4 linked regions of the Sus scrofa genome follow. The protein of the gene in region 1 purifies or fractionates together with the protein of each later gene. This does not show direct contact. Links are inferred from orthologs where the notes say so. Each region holds a gene or a part of one and is shown in the gene's direction. Other genes may lie near its edges. The genes, in order: GNL2, SRPK2, KRR1 and RPL35.

Evidence for each region.
Region 2: the proteins of GNL2 (region 1) and SRPK2 purify together in Homo sapiens (affinity purification with mass spectrometry; 3 studies listed by BioGRID and IntAct, with this or other methods). This does not show direct contact. The link is inferred for Sus scrofa from reciprocal best matches to the Homo sapiens genes GNL2 and SRPK2.
Region 3: the proteins of GNL2 (region 1) and KRR1 purify together in Homo sapiens (affinity purification with mass spectrometry; 3 studies listed by BioGRID and IntAct, with this or other methods). This does not show direct contact. The link is inferred for Sus scrofa from reciprocal best matches to the Homo sapiens genes GNL2 and KRR1.
Region 4: the proteins of GNL2 (region 1) and RPL35 purify together in Homo sapiens (affinity purification with mass spectrometry; 3 studies listed by BioGRID and IntAct, with this or other methods). This does not show direct contact. The link is inferred for Sus scrofa from reciprocal best matches to the Homo sapiens genes GNL2 and RPL35.

Annotation. Positions count from the first base shown.
Region 1 is NC_010448.4:93,621,522-93,625,621, reverse strand, and holds part of GNL2 (nucleolar GTP-binding protein 2), read left to right. Parts: intron 1-1,208; coding exon 1,209-1,666; intron 1,667-2,014; coding exon 2,015-2,094; intron 2,095-2,939; coding exon 2,940-3,025; intron 3,026-3,985; coding exon 3,986-4,100. UniProt on the Homo sapiens protein: GTPase that associates with pre-60S ribosomal subunits in the nucleolus and is required for their nuclear export and maturation.
Region 2 is NC_010451.4:105,033,967-105,038,066, reverse strand, and holds part of SRPK2 (SRSF protein kinase 2), read left to right. Parts: intron 1-550; coding exon 551-797; intron 798-1,643; coding exon 1,644-2,126; intron 2,127-4,100. UniProt on the Homo sapiens protein: Serine/arginine-rich protein-specific kinase which specifically phosphorylates its substrates at serine residues located in regions rich in arginine/serine dipeptides, known as RS domains and is involved in the phosphorylation of SR splicing factors and the regulation of splicing.
Region 3 is NC_010447.5:38,811,543-38,815,642, reverse strand, and holds part of KRR1 (KRR1 small subunit processome component homolog), read left to right. Parts: intron 1-2,160; coding exon 2,161-2,238; intron 2,239-2,339; coding exon 2,340-2,433; intron 2,434-3,785; exon of another isoform or gene 3,786-3,959; coding exon 3,960-4,100. UniProt on the Homo sapiens protein: Part of the small subunit (SSU) processome, first precursor of the small eukaryotic ribosomal subunit.
Region 4 is NC_010443.5:265,639,288-265,643,887, reverse strand, and holds the start of RPL35 (60S ribosomal protein L35), read left to right. Parts: upstream 1-1,609; 5' UTR 1,610-1,633; coding exon 1,634-1,636; intron 1,637-2,102; coding exon 2,103-2,239; intron 2,240-3,348; coding exon 3,349-3,430; intron 3,431-4,600.

The DNA of each region.
Region 1 (4,100 bases):
CTTTTGTAAGCGGGGTGGTCAGGACGGCCTCTGAGAAGGAAGTGACCTTGCAGCGGAGACCTTAGTGATCTGAGGCAGGAGCCACATAGATGCGGAGGGGAGAGTGTTCCAGGCATCAGGAGCAGTGGACCCAGTGCACCTGAGGTGGAGCCAGTCTGACCTGTCTGGTTCTAGAAGAAGTCATGGGGCCGCCCCCTGGCGGGCTCGGGAGCACCGAGTGACGGCGGAAGCCTCTGGGTCTGAGGAGGCCCATCTCTGCTCCCTTGTGACGCTGTGTGGAAGCGGCAGAGTTTTCTCTAACTCTTGCTGTGTGTCTAGTCATTGGGGTTAGGTGACTAGCTCCCCCACTCTGTGACTCTTGCCTTTTGCTCTTGGTGGTGGCAGAAACCCCCTCGAGCATCCGAAAGCTATCACTACCAGCTTCTGCCCGCGAAATGGATGACAAGGCGCACACGAACTGTGTGTGCAATCTCCTGAGTTTCATGGCTTCCTTATGCATTCAGTGCTTTGAGCAGCCACCCCACCTTGGGGAAAAATTCCTTGAGTTCTGTGAGTCTCAGTTACGAGAATACAATGGGGAAGAATATTCATAATATTCTCGTAATATTAATATTATAAGAATATTCATAATATTCTCGTAATATTAATATTATGAGAATATTGCCTATGTGAAGCCGCAGTGCCAGGCCTGCTCACCCTTCCCTGAAGGGGAGGCCCCAGCTCTCAGCCTCTTTCTTACCCGTTCCCACCTCAGGGCTCATTCTCAGTCCTCCCGGGACGGCCCCTCCTTCACACCCTCCCTTCCCAGTGCCGCCTCAGTGCCTACCCTCAGCCTGTGGGGTGTACTCAGCCTGGCTGTGCTTTCCTTGGCAACCCCATTCCTCGCGATCCTCGGGGACATAGGGAATCTCGCCTCCTGCAGGGTGTCGTTGGTTGGTGTTGATGGTGAAATACTCTTGGGGTTGGTGCATTCTTTGGGACCCCAGCTGTGTTCCTCTGACCCTTCAGTGCTGGGCTCAGGGTTTAATGTATGTTGGCTCAGAATAGATCTAACAGGATGACTCAGATGCCGGCGTTTTCCATCCTTTCCCTTGGGCCTGAGAGGAGAACTACCTCATTTAAGAGCAAAGTGTGTAAGTTCAGACATTCGGGTTTTGTTTTCTGACTCCGTTTCTCCCCGTGCTCCCACCCCTTTTTGGCCTAAGTAGCTTCCGTCCGCCTCGACTTTGGAAGTTGCCCCAGAAACAGCCCAGAACAACACAGAAGAGGAAACCCCAGAATCTGGAGGTGGAGGGTCAGAACCCGGCCTTGAGAAGAAGGAAGAGGAGCCTGGCCAGTGCGGCGCTGACGCAGAAATGCAACAGATCCTTGCGCGGGTCCGGCAGAACTTCGGCAAGATCAATGTCGTGCCTCAGTTTTCGGGGGACGACCTGGTTCCCCTGGAGATGTCCGATATCGAGGAAGAGCTGGAGAGCCTCTCTGGGGAGAGGGAGGAGGAGGAGGAACAGGAGCCCCAAGAAGACACTGACGAAGAGCCTTTCACAGAAGCCCAGGAAGAACACACGGGGAGCAGCACCAAGGCCGTCATTCAAGCCCTGGATGAGAAGATTGCCAAGTACCAGAGGTTTTTAGACAAAGCCAAAGCAAAGAAGTTCTCGGCGGTCAGGTAGGGTTCTCATGGGCACAAGTGGCAGGCTGCTCCTTGTGTTCCCAGAACCTTGCCCTGAGGATTGCAGCGGTATGGGAGGTGGGGGCGCGCTTGCCATGTTTAAAAAGTATTCTGTGCGTTTTTAAAATTCAGCAACCTGCAGTGTGAGAGGCTCAGTAGTTCTCTCTTTTACAAGTGCCCAGGGCCTGCAAAAACTTCGGAGGTGCTTCCACCAGTGGTGTGAACTCCGTGAAGAGGAGCAGAGTCTCTTTGATCTGCGAGCTTGTCACCGTCTCCATGTGGGCACGTGACATGAGCAGCAGAGGGGATTGCTGGACAGCTTTGTGACTCTGCTCTCCTTTTCAGAATATCCAAGGGACTGAGTGAGAAGGTTTTTGCAAAACCTGAGCAACAAAAAGCAGTTGAAGAAGATGTAGAAGATACAGGTATAGTTGAATTATTTAAGTCATGTGGATGGGATCTGCATCTTTAGAACTGGGGACCCAAGTTTAATCTCCTCTTTGTTTCTTATACTGTCATCCACACAGATGTTGAGCATATCTGGCCTATCACCCCGGTTCCACGTACTATTTATCACACCTGTGCTTTTTATTCTGCACATTTCTTGGGAATTAAATGGCAGTTCAGGAAAATTCCTCTAAAAAGAGTACATTAGGAGTTCCCTTTGTGGCTCAGCAGTTAACAAACCCAACTAGTGTCCATGAAGATGTGGGTTCGATTCCTGGCCTCACTCAGGGGGTTAAGGATCTAGCGTTGCCATGAGCTGTGGTGTAGGTTGCAGACACGGCTCAGATCCCCGAATTGTGCTGTGGCTGTGGTGTAGACCCACAGCTGTAGCTCCAATTTGACCCCTGGCCTGGGAACCTCCACAAGCCCCAAGTGCAGCCCTAGAAAGACCAAAAAATAAAAATAAAAAAGAGTACATTAACCTTGTAATCTAAGGGTAGGTCCAGAGACACATTTTTTTCAGCTGGGGTAGGGAGCAGATTGGGGTTCATGTATTTTTTTTCTTAACTTGGTTGGACTGACAGCTTCCATATCAAGAGTGTGTTTTCGTGACACAAATGCAAACCCTGCAGAGGCCTGCGAGGTCCTCGGGGGCTGGCAGCCTCCCAGCCTCCTGCTCCGCTGTACTCACCATACTCCGGTCCCACTGCCTTCTGCCTTTTTCTCTAGCATATCGAGCTCATTCCCACCTTAGGGTTTACAGACACATTTTGAATAAAAAATTCCTTTTTCTTTCTTGTGTGTGTTCATGTATTGTTCCTAGCACCTACCAAAAAGGGAAAGAAGAGGAAGGCACAGAGGGAAGAAGAGCATTCAGACAAAACTCGCAGGATGCTTACATCTAAGGAAGTACGTGTTTTTGTCTTAGGCATAGAGCAGAGAGGAGAAGGCGATTTTTTTAACTCAGTCTTTCTGAAACTGTCTAGAGTTGAAATCAAAGAACCCCAGTCCTGGGAGTTCTAGTCGTGGCGCAGTGGTTAACGAATCCAACTAGGAACCATGAGGTTGCGGGTTTGGTCCCTGCCCTTGCTCAGTGGGTTAACGATCCGGCGTTGCTGTGAGCTGTGGTGTAGGTCGCAGACGCGGCTCGGATCCCGCGTTGCTGTGGCTCTGGCGTAGGCTGGTGGCTACAGCTCGGATTCAACCCCTAGCCTGGGAACCTCCCTATGCCGCGGGAGCAGCCCAAGAAATAGCTAAAAAACAAAAAACAAAAAAAAAAAAAACCCAGTCCTAAGTGACCCAGTTGAGATCAGTGAAACAAAATCAAAGAGTTGACCCCTGAGTTTGGGTCGTATGTTTGAGGAATTTCTGATCGCTGATCTCAAGTGTGCGGCCTCTCATTTGGAAGAGTCAGTTGGGTTTATGAGAAGTGATTCATGGTGAACAGAGCTGTGTAGAAAGACAGGTCCCTGCCTTCTGTGAAGTTCATCCCTCTAACCAGGCTCTCTCGAGCTGCAAGGGCCCTCTTGGGCGGTAGAGAGCTTATCATCAGAGCATTCAGCCTCAGACCAGGGAGCCGCTTGTCAGGAGGGCAGGAGAAAAGATTCGAGCATTAGATGAGGGTTGGACCAAAGGATGGTAACTTGGAGTTGTCACAGTTGCAGTAGAAGCGCAGGCTTGGGTCTGTGAGGTGAACCCTCCCTCGACCCTGCTCCAGTTGTTGTGGGAGTGGCATGGGAATGGAGCATGGAGAAGTGTAGAAGCCTGTTTATGACTTCAGTGTTTGACTTTTTTTTTTTTTTTCCCTTCGTGTGTGTGTGTGTGTGTGTGTGTGTGTGTGTGTGTGTGTGTGCGCGCCATTGTTCACAGCGGAGACGAGCAGCACGGCAGCAGCAACCCAGAAAAGTCGGTGTACGCTACTATGAAACTCACAACGTGAAAAACAGGAACAGGAACAAAAAGAAGACCAGTGACTCAGAGGGGC
Region 2 (4,100 bases), on another chromosome or scaffold:
TTTTTCTTTTTTCCCCTCCGTATGCTCATTTTTTATAGTTCCTGCAGTCTTGGCAGCTGATAGCAGCTCATTGTGTGAGACCCAAACACAAACAGTGCTGTTGACCAACAATGAATGAAGTACACCTGTTTTGGCAGAGATTTCTTTTTTGGCAGACAGTTGAGGAAGTTGGGAGAGGCGATGTTGTTACTTTGTGGACAGGCAGAGCAAGTAAAACTTGCAAGAAGTGCTTCTTGTTCAAAGGCAAGAGTATCTGGGCATATTTAGTTCTTCTTGAGTTTAAAAAGACTTGTTGGGTTTAAGCTGTATCCCTCCAAGGACAGGAGCAGGTAGTGGTCCTGTGACTTGATTTACTGTTTCTTTTTTTCTGGTTTTGTGGTAACCCTAAACATGCCGTGGGTCTCACGTCTGGGCATGTGATTTTAATTGAATACAGCCTGAGAAAAAAACAGACTGTGTTGGTATTTGTCATGCTTCCAACAATTACACTATTGAATAGTGCCTTAAAAAGAAGCAAACTGACCGGTGGTATTTTCTTAACATGTTGTAGATAGGAAAAATATCTAAAAACAAAAAGAAAAAGCTGAAAAAGAAGCAGAAAAGGCAGGCTGAGTTATTGGAAAAGCGCCTGCAGGAAATAGAAGAATTGGAACGAGAAGCTGAAAGGAAAATAATAGAAGAAAACGTCACATCTTCTGTACCTTCCAATGAGCAAGATGATGAATATCACCCAGAGGTGAAACTAAAAACAGCAGAAATAGAGGAGGCAGCAGAGGGAGAGACTTCGAATAACAACGGTCAGTGCAATCTGGAACTCTAATAGCAGGGACCCCCCAGGTCACACATAGGGTGACTTAGTGCCACTGCTGCTGCTTCAGACATGAGGACAACCCTCTTCACCTCCTGATTGGAGGACGTGGGAGAACTGGCTGGTATTTGATTTGTAAAATGTATACAAGGAATATGTTAATATTTCTAAATATTTTTTTAAAAAACAGCAAGGTGGAGTTCCCTCCGTGGCTTAGCAGTTAACAAACTCGACTAGGATCCATGAGGATGCGGATTCGATCCCTGGCCTCTCTCTCAGTGGGTTAAGGATCCGGTGTTGCCGTGAGCTGTGGTGTAGGTTGCAGACTCGGCTCTGATCTGGCATTGCTGTGGCTGTGGTGTAGGCCGGCAGCTGTAGCTCCGATTATACCTGGCCTGGGAACCTCCATATGCCACGGGTGAGGCCTTAAAAAGCAAAACAAACAAACAAACAAATAATAACCCAGCTGGAAACCCTCTGAGGAACATCACTTATGTCTTTATCATGCTAGTGATTGTTCTTCATCTTGTAATTAAGTTTTAACAATAATGCACTCTGAGACCTTTTCTGAAGAAGATAAAAATACAGTTCTGTTTATATACTTATTTTGCCTAAGAGCTGCTGACTTTTTCTCATAAGTGTAGGCCAGGTATTTAATAAATAAAAAATAAGATTTAGAAAACCTAAAGATTTTCCCTGAGAGCCAGGAGGTGTTTGCTCTGTAGGACCTGAAGTTGGCACATTCAGATGTGTCTCTTGCTGGAGGAGATAAGTGCTGAGTGCACTCTGTTTAGGAGAGTGACATGTTCTGATTCTTACCCTTTAACTTTTTAAGGTGAAGCTGAGGACCAGGAAGAGAAAGAGGACACTGAGAAAGAAAACACAGAGAAGGATGAAGATGATGTGGAACAGGAACTCGCAAACATCGACCCTACTTGGATAGAATCACCCAAAACCAATGGTCATATTGAGAATGGCCCATTTTTACTCGAACAACAACTGGATGATGAAGATGAAGAGGAGGAAGATTGCCCGAATCCTGAGGAATATAACCTTGATGAGCCAAACGCAGAGAGTGATTACACATATAGCAGCTCCTACGAACAATTCAATGGTGAATTGCCAAATGGACGACATAAAATTCCTGAGTCACAGTTTCCAGAGTTTTCCACGTCATTGTTCTCTGGGCCTTTAGAACCTGTGGCTTGTGGCTCTGCACTTTCTGAGGGATCTCCACTCACCGAGCAGGAGGAAAGCAGCCCATCCCATGACAGAAGTAGGACGGTTTCAGCCTCCAGCACTGGGGATTTGCCGAAAAGTAAGTGTCCCTTTCCACTGGGTGTCTGCTTTCAGTGGCCCAAGTGTCATACTCTTGACAATTGCTATGAAAGGAGTTGGTTGGAAGTGGTAAATAGCTGCGTCTGTATGCATTAACCATTTTCCTCTTTTTTTTGAAATTAAAAAAAAACTTTAATTAAAAATTTACTAGGGTACAGTTGATTTATAGTGTTGACTCAATTTCTTCTCTCCAGCATAGTGACCATTTTATTACTTTTGTACTCATGAGTAAGTTAATGTAGTTTAAAATAAATTTTGTGCCACTAGGCTTTCTCTTGCTCTCTGTGTATCAGATCCCATTTCTGAGTTTTCTTCCTTCCTGTCTTTAGTGACATCATACATGTGCAGAAACCTTCCAAGTCTAGCATCTTACACCTGTAGCTTTCAAGCATGTGTAGTTTAATACATAATTTGTGCTTCCATCTCATAGTGCTATGTTTGGTTTTTTGTTTTTGTTTCATTTCTATTCAAACAAAAATGTTGTGCCTGCTCTTTATCTGTATTGAGGAAGAAGTGCCCTAGTTTATTCTGTAAGTTGTCCTTAATTATAGGACTATCCCATTGAAATTTTAAAGAAAGTGGCATGGGTTTAAATGTGTTGGTGACCTATATCAAACCTTGATTTTGAGAGTGAATGCTACATGACATATCTCTGACTGTGGTATGCTATAGGACTTCAGTCGGCGAACATGGGTGTCATGGTTAGTTTCCTTTCTGGCCCACTGTGGAAAAGCTCAGAAACCTCCTCTGCTCCCTCTGCTGACAAGAGTGTTTAACACATGAAGAGCCAGTTGATCAGCCAGCTCAGCACATAGCCCAAGATATTCTGCAGGTCCTTTCTTTCCAGCAAGCGAGAGAGCTACAGAGCCATTTCTGGTACTCATTGGTCTTAACTAATCATCTTAAGGATGTGGTTTTATTTCTTTTTTTTTTTTTTTTAACTTGAATTGACGTATTCTGCTCCTGTTCACCTTTACCACAACCAGAGGCTCTTTGAAGGTGCTTCTTAATAAAATGCTTTCATGAAGAATGTAGCTTCATCTAAGGAAAAACTCACTTCTCTGTCTCCTTTGCTCTCATTCTATTTCCAAACTACTGCTGATGCTTCTGGTTACCGTGCTAACAATTCTCTGATACTAGCTTGGTGTCCTGCAGTTTAAGTGAAGTCTGACACTTCTTGGAGATAGCATCAGAGTCCAGGGTTAAGGGCTCATTCCCACAAGACTGTCCCTTCCCATGCATCAGTCACAAGTCCACATTGTCACCTGTGCATCTGAATGATCTATTATAAATCAGAGATTTCCATGACTCTATCCTGGATTGGATTAATTTATTAGAGCGGCTCACAGAACTCAGGAAAACAGTTTACTTGCTAGGTTGTCAGTATGCATAGCGCATGGTGTGTGGGAAGGGGCCAGGCTTCCATGCTCTTTCTAGACGCATCACACATTCCTTCATATCACAGACACATTTTTCTTTTTAATTAACACATTGGGTTGTGTGTTATCATTGTTTACAGCTTTTTTTTTTAATGCTAGAATTATCCCTAATAATTTGTCAACTTCTTCAGGTTGGGTCTTAAGTCCTTTTGACGAAACCTGTTATTCGTTAAGTGCTTCCTTGCCCTTTCAGAACCATGTGCCCCAGGCTAGAGTCAGTTGTGTCTCCAAGTAATTGTTGCTTATTAATATAAAAAAATTTTATAGTGTACATAATAGATAGAAACAGTAGTATGTAAACTTTATAAACATACATATATTAAAATCAGTGTTCCGATGTCGTCTTTATCGATGGAGTAAACAGTGAAAGGGTTTAGTAATACCAAGTGTAGCATGGGCTCTTTCCCATTCCTTCTCAAAAGACGTGATAAAGAACATCTGTGTGAACATGGCACGCTCGCTCATGCTTCCATGCCTTTGCTAGTGCTTTTCCTCCTGTTTGTTTGGGCACACTT
Region 3 (4,100 bases), on another chromosome or scaffold:
GAGAGACAGGAAACTGAAGGTAAGTGTTTTTTTTTTTTTTAATTGACATATATTGTTTACAATGTGCTCATTTCTACTGTACAGCGAAGTTATTCAGATATATCTATATATATATTTATACACTATATTTTTCATTATGATTCATCACAGGATATTGAATATAGTTCCCTGTGCTATACATTAGGACCTTGCTGTTTCTTAAATAGGCTTAATTTGAATGAACTGTTTATGGGTGGGGAATGGAGGCTTCTATTGTGAGTGTAGTCTGGATCAAGGTGGTTGGTGTCAGTTGTGTATCAGTAGCCACTGTAAATGTTCCATGGATAAAAAAGTTCAATGATTTAGTCCACAGTGTTTTCCGCATCATTCATGTGACCATGTGCTGTATGATTGCTCTTGTTTTGAAATCTTAAATTCTATTACCCAATCCTTTTTCTAATATATGAATGTCTCTCATTTTGTTAGCTGTCTTCTGGCACCATTTCCTTTCTAAAATTTCCTTTCCTGTCTTACTCATTACTCTTCTTTCATACTCCCTTTCCTTATATCACACTTGCCCAACAGAACTCTAAGACTTGGATCAGTCCTAGAACTTGACTTTTTTCCTTTAATGTGTCCGCTAAACATAGCTGGAGAGAAGTCCTATCTTTGGACTGTGTCCCTTACAAATTCAGGAGTTCCCATGTGGTGCAGTGGGTTAAGAATACAGTGTTATCGCTGCAGTGGCTTAGATTGCTGCTGTGGTGTGGGTTCAGTTCCTAGCCTGAGAACTTATACATGTAACCACCTCAGCCAAAAAAAACATTTCCAGCCTCAGGTTTTCAGTCTTGTCCAGCAGCTCTCTTCATCCTCTTAATTCTTTAGGCATCCTCCCACTCCTAACATTGCCTTTTATTTTCCTGAAATATTTGAGATCTCCAGGGAAGAACTCTTTCAACTTCCTCTTTTCTCACATTTTTTCCCCCCTCATCTGCATCAGTCCTTTCTTTACCTCTTCTTTGAATTGTCTTCATCTGTCTTCTGAGGGGGATTGTTTCTTTATTCTCTCCCTTGGCAGTATGTTAAAGTCTTCCCTTTCTACTAGTTCTTTGTGCTCAGCATGTAAACCCATCCCTATCTTGTCTTCCCCACAGCCCTGTGTTTGTAGATTTTCAGGGAAGATTTGATGAAAGGTCAAAGATAAAAAAGGAATGGTCATCACAGTAAAAAAACAATGGCAATGTTGGATCATGAGGTCTGCTCTGGAAAAGGAAGAAAGTGAAGCCAAAAGCAAACTTATTTGGGGGAGAGTAGAGTGATCCAGTTTCTAAACCACATGCTTCCATAACACCTGATAGATTTCATATGGTCCTGGCCTGTACTTAGTAGTTACCTTTCTCTTGTATGACCATAAGCTGCTTGAATCAGTGATGTCTCATTTGACTTATTTGCTGTGTAATTATGGACAGTTTATTTAACCTGTCCATGCCTCAGTTTCTCCATATAATGGGGATAATATCTACCGCAAAGAATTGTTAATGAGGATTGAGTTAGTAAATTGTAGAGAACTTGTAAAGAGTTTAGAACAACATTGCCTTAGATATACTAATGCTCTGTATTAAATAGACCAGTTATATGTTAACTGTATATGGAGTGAGTGAGCTATTGCTTTCTCTAATTAGTATTTAATTAGTTGCCACATCCTGGCAGTTACTGCTTTTCATTTTGTATGCCGAAATCTCTATTCCAGGCTTTTATCTCTTCTTTCTTCTTCTGTACCTTTTATAAAATGCTGCTTTGCTCTTTTCACTTCAGGAACCTTCAGTCATTTCTAAATCACATCCCCACCTCCTTTACCTGTCATCCAAGTTTCTTCAAGCTTTCCCAAAACAATCTTTCCAGTTTCCTCTCACACGTTTCTGAATCATTGCCCTTCTACCCTATCTGAAGCAGTCTATTGTGAACTTCATGAACGCATCACCTACTTTCCCTCACACATGCTTTGAGGAATGTAATCCCCCTAAGCTTGAAGTACATTTCCTTCTTTTAGTGTTGCTACCTTACAAAGTAATCAGAGTTTTGACTCTACTGTCTTTTCTTCAAGGTCACTGTGACTTTTTTAGGAATTCTCATCTACATTATTTCTGATATAATTGTATGTATTTATACTGCTTTCAACAGATTGATAAAGAATTGGCTAGTGGTGAATACTTTTTGAAGTCAAGTCAAAAGAAGAGACAGAAAATGGAAGCAATAAAGGTAATTATAATAATAAGCAATAATTGCAAAAGTTCAGAGAAACTTGAATTCTTTAGCCATATAATGTTTTACTAACGTAGTTTTTTTTATTAATGATGTAGGCTAAACAAGCTGAAGCTCTTAGTAAGAGACAAGAGGAAAGAAACAAAGCTTTTATTCCACCTAAAGAGAAACCAGTTGTGAAACCTAAGGAAGGTAATGCTCGTTTTCCAGCTCTTGGTTGATGTAAAAGTCTGTTTATAGGAAAAGTGAACCCATAGTGAATTTGTCTGACTCTCTTTGAGTGGTAAGAAATAACCCTGTCATTAATTCTCAGCATTTCATTAATCACAAACCCTAGGGACAAGAGGTGACTGAGGTCATTTATTGTTTAGTAGCGGCTAGTGCCTATTTAATAGTATCCCAAATTGGCAGTCCCTTCCTGACTTCTGATTATGCTGAGGAAGGACTAAAGATATGAACCAGAGCAGTGAACCTGCTGTAAAAAGTAAAACTATAAGATCCCTGAGCTCTGCTATCATGCCTCTCAAAAAGAGCTTACCTAAAGTAGTGCTTTTGTTTACTTGTGTGACCTCTGGCTTTAAATTTTGATTCTTGTATTGTTAACATGGATTTCTCATCCCCTTAGGTTAAAAGAGCAGGAAGATCTTTCTTATTCAGGGACAACTAAAAGTGACACTCAGATAAAACACTTTTAGTGCCTTTTCTTCTCATTCCCTAGCCTCATTTTGATCTCTCATCTCCTCTTTTGCATTTTCTTTTCCACTAGTAACATTTGTGCTCTTCTGTCAGGTAATTCTCCAAAGTGGTCAGTGGCTCAGAGAGGGTAGGGAGGTCACCAGTAGCATTGCACCAAAGCCAGATGTAAATTACTAAAATAGTAGTGTTATGTCGGTGTTAACAGCTTTAAAAATACTGCATCCTACTCTTTAGATGATTGTTTATATAAAAGTTAAAAACATAAGCATTGTAATTTCTAGTTTGTACAGTCTGTTAGTTATGTAGCTAGTTTAATCTCAGTTTATTACTGATTAGAAGTGTAGCTGTTCTACTGTAGTGGAGGATTAGGCTTTTAAATTTTATCTCAAGTTGCTGGGTCATTTGTATGATGTCATTTTATTTTGTGATTCTTTTATGTCCTGAATACTATTCTTTAAATGCTAAGAGAAAGGTTTTTTTTGTTTTGTTTTGTTTTTTTCCTTCACTGCTTTCTTTCTGTTTTTAAGCTTTTTGGTGGTAGGATGGTTGGGTTCTATTAGGACCTCCAGATGCTCTCAGATTATTACCAAAATCTTACTAAATGAAATGCTACTATTAATTGAACTAATATTTGGAAAACTATTTAAGCTTTTAATATGGTATTAGATGAAGTAGATTTTGACCTATAGTTTCATGATTAGCTAAAAGTACTGAAGCCAGAAGAGTTAAATATATTTAAATTATTTCAGTGGGCAAGAAATGGGAAAGTTTACTTCCCATTTACTTTAATGGGAAAGTTGGCGTATTAAGGAAAAAGTTCCAATATATGGAAAAGAAAATAATCTCAGTTTAAGAGGAAAATGTAATTTTAATATAGTTGCATTGAGTAATTGTTCATATAAATTATGCCATTTTGAAATTTCTAACTTTCAGCAGATGTTTTGTAGTTTTATAACATGACCTTTCAATTACAGCAGTACTCTGATATTAAATCTTGTTACATGTATTTTTAACTTATTTAGCTTCTACTGAAACTAAAATTGATGTGGCCACCATCAAGGAAAAGGTTAAGAAAGCAAAGAGTAAGAAACTGGGAGCTCTTACAGCTGAAGAAGTTAAGCTTAAAATGGAAGCAGATGAAAAGAAAAAGAAGAAAAAAAAGT
Region 4 (4,600 bases), on another chromosome or scaffold:
CAAAATTGAAAAGGGTCCTTCTAGCAGCTGTACTGAGAACACATGGAGCAAGAGCCAAACTGGTGATTTAAGAGATGACACCAGTGGTCCCAGTGACAGTGGTGGCTCAGGCCTGGCAGGTGCCAATAAGAGAAATGGGATAAGTTTGGGTATTTTGAAGATAAAGGCTGTAGAATTTGGAAATGGATTGGATGTGGCATATAACAAACAGTAGTCATAGATGGCTTCAAGTTCCAAAAAGATGTACACAATCATTAACAGAACTATAAGCATTTAGAAAAACAGGACAGCCAAGTTCCTGTGCACCATTCAACTTCCATGTAAAACTAATCCTTACCAGCACTGTCCTCTGCCCTCTCTTCCCTAGTTCCCTCCACTTCCTGGAAGTCTTGCCTCATTGTGGTCTGAGGCAATGCTTCTTAATTCAATTCATCCAACAAGTATTCATGTGCTGGGCCTGGAGTCTAGAAAAAATAAACCAGGTGTTCGCCATGGTTCTGCCCTTGGGGAACTAACTTCCAGGCTGGCTGTGGAGATAAACACATAACTTTCATTTTAATTCAGTGTGTTTGGAGCTAAAGAGAGGATTGCACAGAAAGCTTCAGACACAAGCAGAGGCTCCCTGGAGGTGACACCTGACAGCAACAGGGGGCAACCTGGCTTTAATGAGAGCTCTAAGACATGCGGATGAGTCTTTGTTAAGGGCAGTAGAGTGACACTAGAGCACTGACTGATACACATTTGCTGGTTGGAGCAACGATAAAACTGTCCAGTTAGAAAGCTTGATCACTTTCCCTTCCCTTTAGCTTTCAGGGCCCCCTCAAGTGTTCATTAAACTGGGAGCATTAATATGGATAATACTTTGAGCAATTGTTACACATCAGGTCTTGGACTAGAGTTTTACATGTCATTTTCCTGATCCTCACAAATACCACACTTCACAGGTGAGAAAACTGACACTCAGGGGAAGGGATTTGATTTGCCTAGAGTCTCAGCTAGCTCCAAGCAACAGAGTAAGAATTTGAAACCGGGTCAGGTTCACTAAAAAAGCCATGACTGCTCTTGACCTTACCACTGGCTGCCTCCACTAGAATATTTATGCAGTTGGATTATACCTGTCTGACCCCGGTCCTCCCCGCCCACCTTGAAGTTCAAGTTCCCTCAAGGGAGGGGGGCCATGTTAATTCATCTTTGAAAACCCCAACCTTCATCCCCTATATTCCGGAACACTGGTTCCTAGCTGGAAGTAGTGCAGACTGGGCGATCAGCAAAGATTTACCGAATGAATGAATGAAGAAATAAATGAATCCGTCTTCACTCTGCCATCTCTGGCAAATTGCCCCTCACCCCAGGCCTCGCTTACCCCACTGCGTTGCTCAGGGCATTAGACCAAATCTAAGGAAGAGGCGAGCACTGCTGGGCGGGGCTCCGGCTCCCCGGAGCAGAGCTGGACTAACTTTACCACTCATTACTCGCGGCGCGCCAGTAGGGCTGGAAGTAGCAGGGAGGAGCTGGAGCTCCCCGGCCGCGGAGCCACTGGCCACGCCCACCGCTACCCGGCAGTAGTTGCCGAGGTCAGCCCCGCCTCTTCCTCTTTCCCTCCAAGAAGGCGGCGGCGGCAGCTTGCACAGCCATGGTGAGGGCCGGGGTATCGGGTGCCATCTGCGCGTTGTGGGGCTCGGGGGCTGGGGTGGGGGCCGCGAGGCGAGTCCTGGGAGCTCATCTGCCAGCCTGGCCTGTGGGACGCTGTGCGGAATGGCCTAGCATCGCCCCAGCCGGCTTCTCGCCTTCCACCAGAGGCCTGGGCCCGGAGAGGTGCTCGTTGCCTGGGCCTCTGTCTTTCCTTCTGCGGAATAGGGGTGGCAGCCCGTCTCGAAGCAGGCCTGGGCGAGACCGCGTCTGCTGGAGCCTGGGTTGCCCTGCCCAAGGCGCGGTCGTGCAGGCCCTCCAGCGCACCCTTGGCCCAGTGCGAGGCGCGCGCCCCGAGGGGCTGATCACGACGCGGGAGGAGGGGAGGACGGGAGGTGGAGGCCTCGGTAAGCGGCCGTGGGGCAGACGGCCCTGCAGGTGTTTGACCAGACTTTACTCTTTCTTGCGCGCAGGCCAAGATTAAGGCTCGAGACCTTCGGGGCAAGAAGAAGGAGGAGCTGCTGAAACAACTGGAGGACCTGAAGGTGGAGCTGTCCCAACTGCGCGTCGCGAAAGTGACAGGCGGGGCGGCTTCCAAACTCTCCAAGATGTAAGTGACGGATGTTCAGACCACGGCCCTCTGGGTGTGGGGGATACAAAAGCATTGGGAGCGTTTTAAGTGCCTATTGCATGGATCTGTGGGTGGGAACATCACGCCCTTTCTAGCCATCCTCTCCCGGCTCCCCTTGCTCAGGCCGAGGCGCCTGGAGACCCGCTGCCTTTACCTGCATTTGACCCTGTGGTCCTTTTGCCTGACACCTCCTTGGGCCTGTCTGGCTGGGGAAAGAACTGGCTGTCCCTGAAGACCTGTTTTAATGCTGCCTCCGAATATCTAACTGGAGCCCATTCTCCTACCTCCTACCAGCACTTGATTTTTGTCTTATCTCTCCTCACTTGGTTGCACCTCTTACTTGAGTTGTAGTGTAGCTGCTGTATGTGGAGCAAAAACCAAGCCTCGTGAAAGGAACATGGGTTTGGAGTTAGTCAACTTGGGCATAAAAATTCTGCTTCTGCCACATCTAACCTTCTGGACAGGTTGCCTGATCACTAAGGGTTTTTTCCCTTTCTATAAAATGGGTCCCCAGTAATTTTCTTATGTTAGTGTGCAAGCAACTTCTGTGGATCCTCAAGAGCGGTTTACCGTTAACTGAGTGGCCCTCATCCTGCTACATGCCTCATATTCAACATGATTAAAAATTCGCTTATCCAGCCTGTTCCTCATTTCAGCCTCCCCACTCATCCACCCCATCCCTAGCATTTCTGTTTCTCAGATGTCTCATTTTCCCTCCCAAGTGGCTCCTCCTATGACCCCCTGAACTGAACTTGGTTGCCCAGCTTGTGGCATGAGTCCCTCCAGTCAGCTCATTCAAATCAACATTGATTAGGTCTTCTTTATAGATTTCAGGATGTATGACCTGGGGTGGAATGTCTTTCCTGATCTGCCCTCCACCTCTTCTCATTAAGCCTCCTCAATGAACACTTCACAATTCTGCAAAAGCACTAGATATGTCAGCCATTCCCCTGTCCCCACACCTGGGATGCCCATGTATTGTCTCTTTAGCCTCCAGAACACCTTCCTCCTGAGATGGATGAAAATGGGGGAGCTGGTGGGGAGTGCTGTGTGCCTTCCCCATCTTCACTGATGTCTCTGTTTTGTAGCCGAGTTGTTCGCAAATCCATTGCCCGCGTTCTCACCGTCATCAACCAGACCCAGAAAGAGAACCTCAGGAAATTCTATAAGGTTAGTAGGGAAGGGAGGGTGGTGCTTGGCTACAAGGAGCAAAATTCCAGCTCTTCTTTGGCCAGCGGAGCAGTTTGGTAAGCTTCTCTACACAGGTGCTCAGAACGGGGCTTTCCAGAGCCTTCTCAGCTTTTTTGGTATGCCTTCTGACTAGTATATGGCAAGCAGACTGCATTTCCTTGGGGCTGCAGTTGTCAGGTACTCAAAGATGTGGGAGTCTTGCTAGAAACTTGGGGGTGGTGGGCGATTTGTTTTTTAGGGCCATACTTGTGGCATACGGAAGTTCCCAGGCTAGAGGTGGAATCGGAGCTACAGCTGCCGGCCTGTGCCACAGCTCATGGCAACGCCAGATCCCCAACCCACTGAGTAAGGCCAAGGATTGAGCCCGTATGCTCATGGATACTAGATTCACGTCTGCTGGGCCACAATGGGAACTCCCAGAAACTTGGGGTTTTGAATAAAATCTCACCAGTGTGATGAGTTTAAGGAGTTTGAGAATTAACTGTTTAAATGTTTTAATTGTATTGCTAGCCCAGTGTCATTCACTGTCCAGCATCTGGTATTATTTTTTAAATGGGGACTTCAAGGCTTAGGTTAAATTTCCCAGCGTCAACTACAATAAGTTGATTGATGGGGCCTAGGTTCCAAACAGTGTCTTAGGGAGGGGTGGGTTGAGTGTTGCTCAGCCTAGGATTTCCACAACCATTTCTGGTCTTGTCCTTAAAACTAGTATCATTAGAGTTCAAGGAGTGACATGGGACCAGTAGGAGAGTTTCCATGATGTGTATGCATACGTTTGACTTACTGTAAGGAGTTGGCTTGTGTGATTGTGGGGGCTGCTGTCAGGACAAGAATATCAAAGGCAGGCTGGAGCTCAACATTTGGTTGAAGCTGCTGTCTTCAGTGGGATTTTTTCTGATTACATTTGAAGAATGGCTTCACATCAGTACCCAAATGAGCATTTGGAAGACTAGAGCATTTGGTCTATCAAAAGAGGTGTGCCTGGAGTTCCCCAGGGGGAAAAAAAAAGAACTTGGTGGATTCTCTCTAGTGAAAAGATGATCAGAAATAAACCTTTGAGGAGTTCCCGTCGTGGCGCAGTGGTTAACGAATCCGACTAGGAACCATGAGGTTGCAGGTTCCATCCCTGCCCTTGCTCAGTGGGTTAAC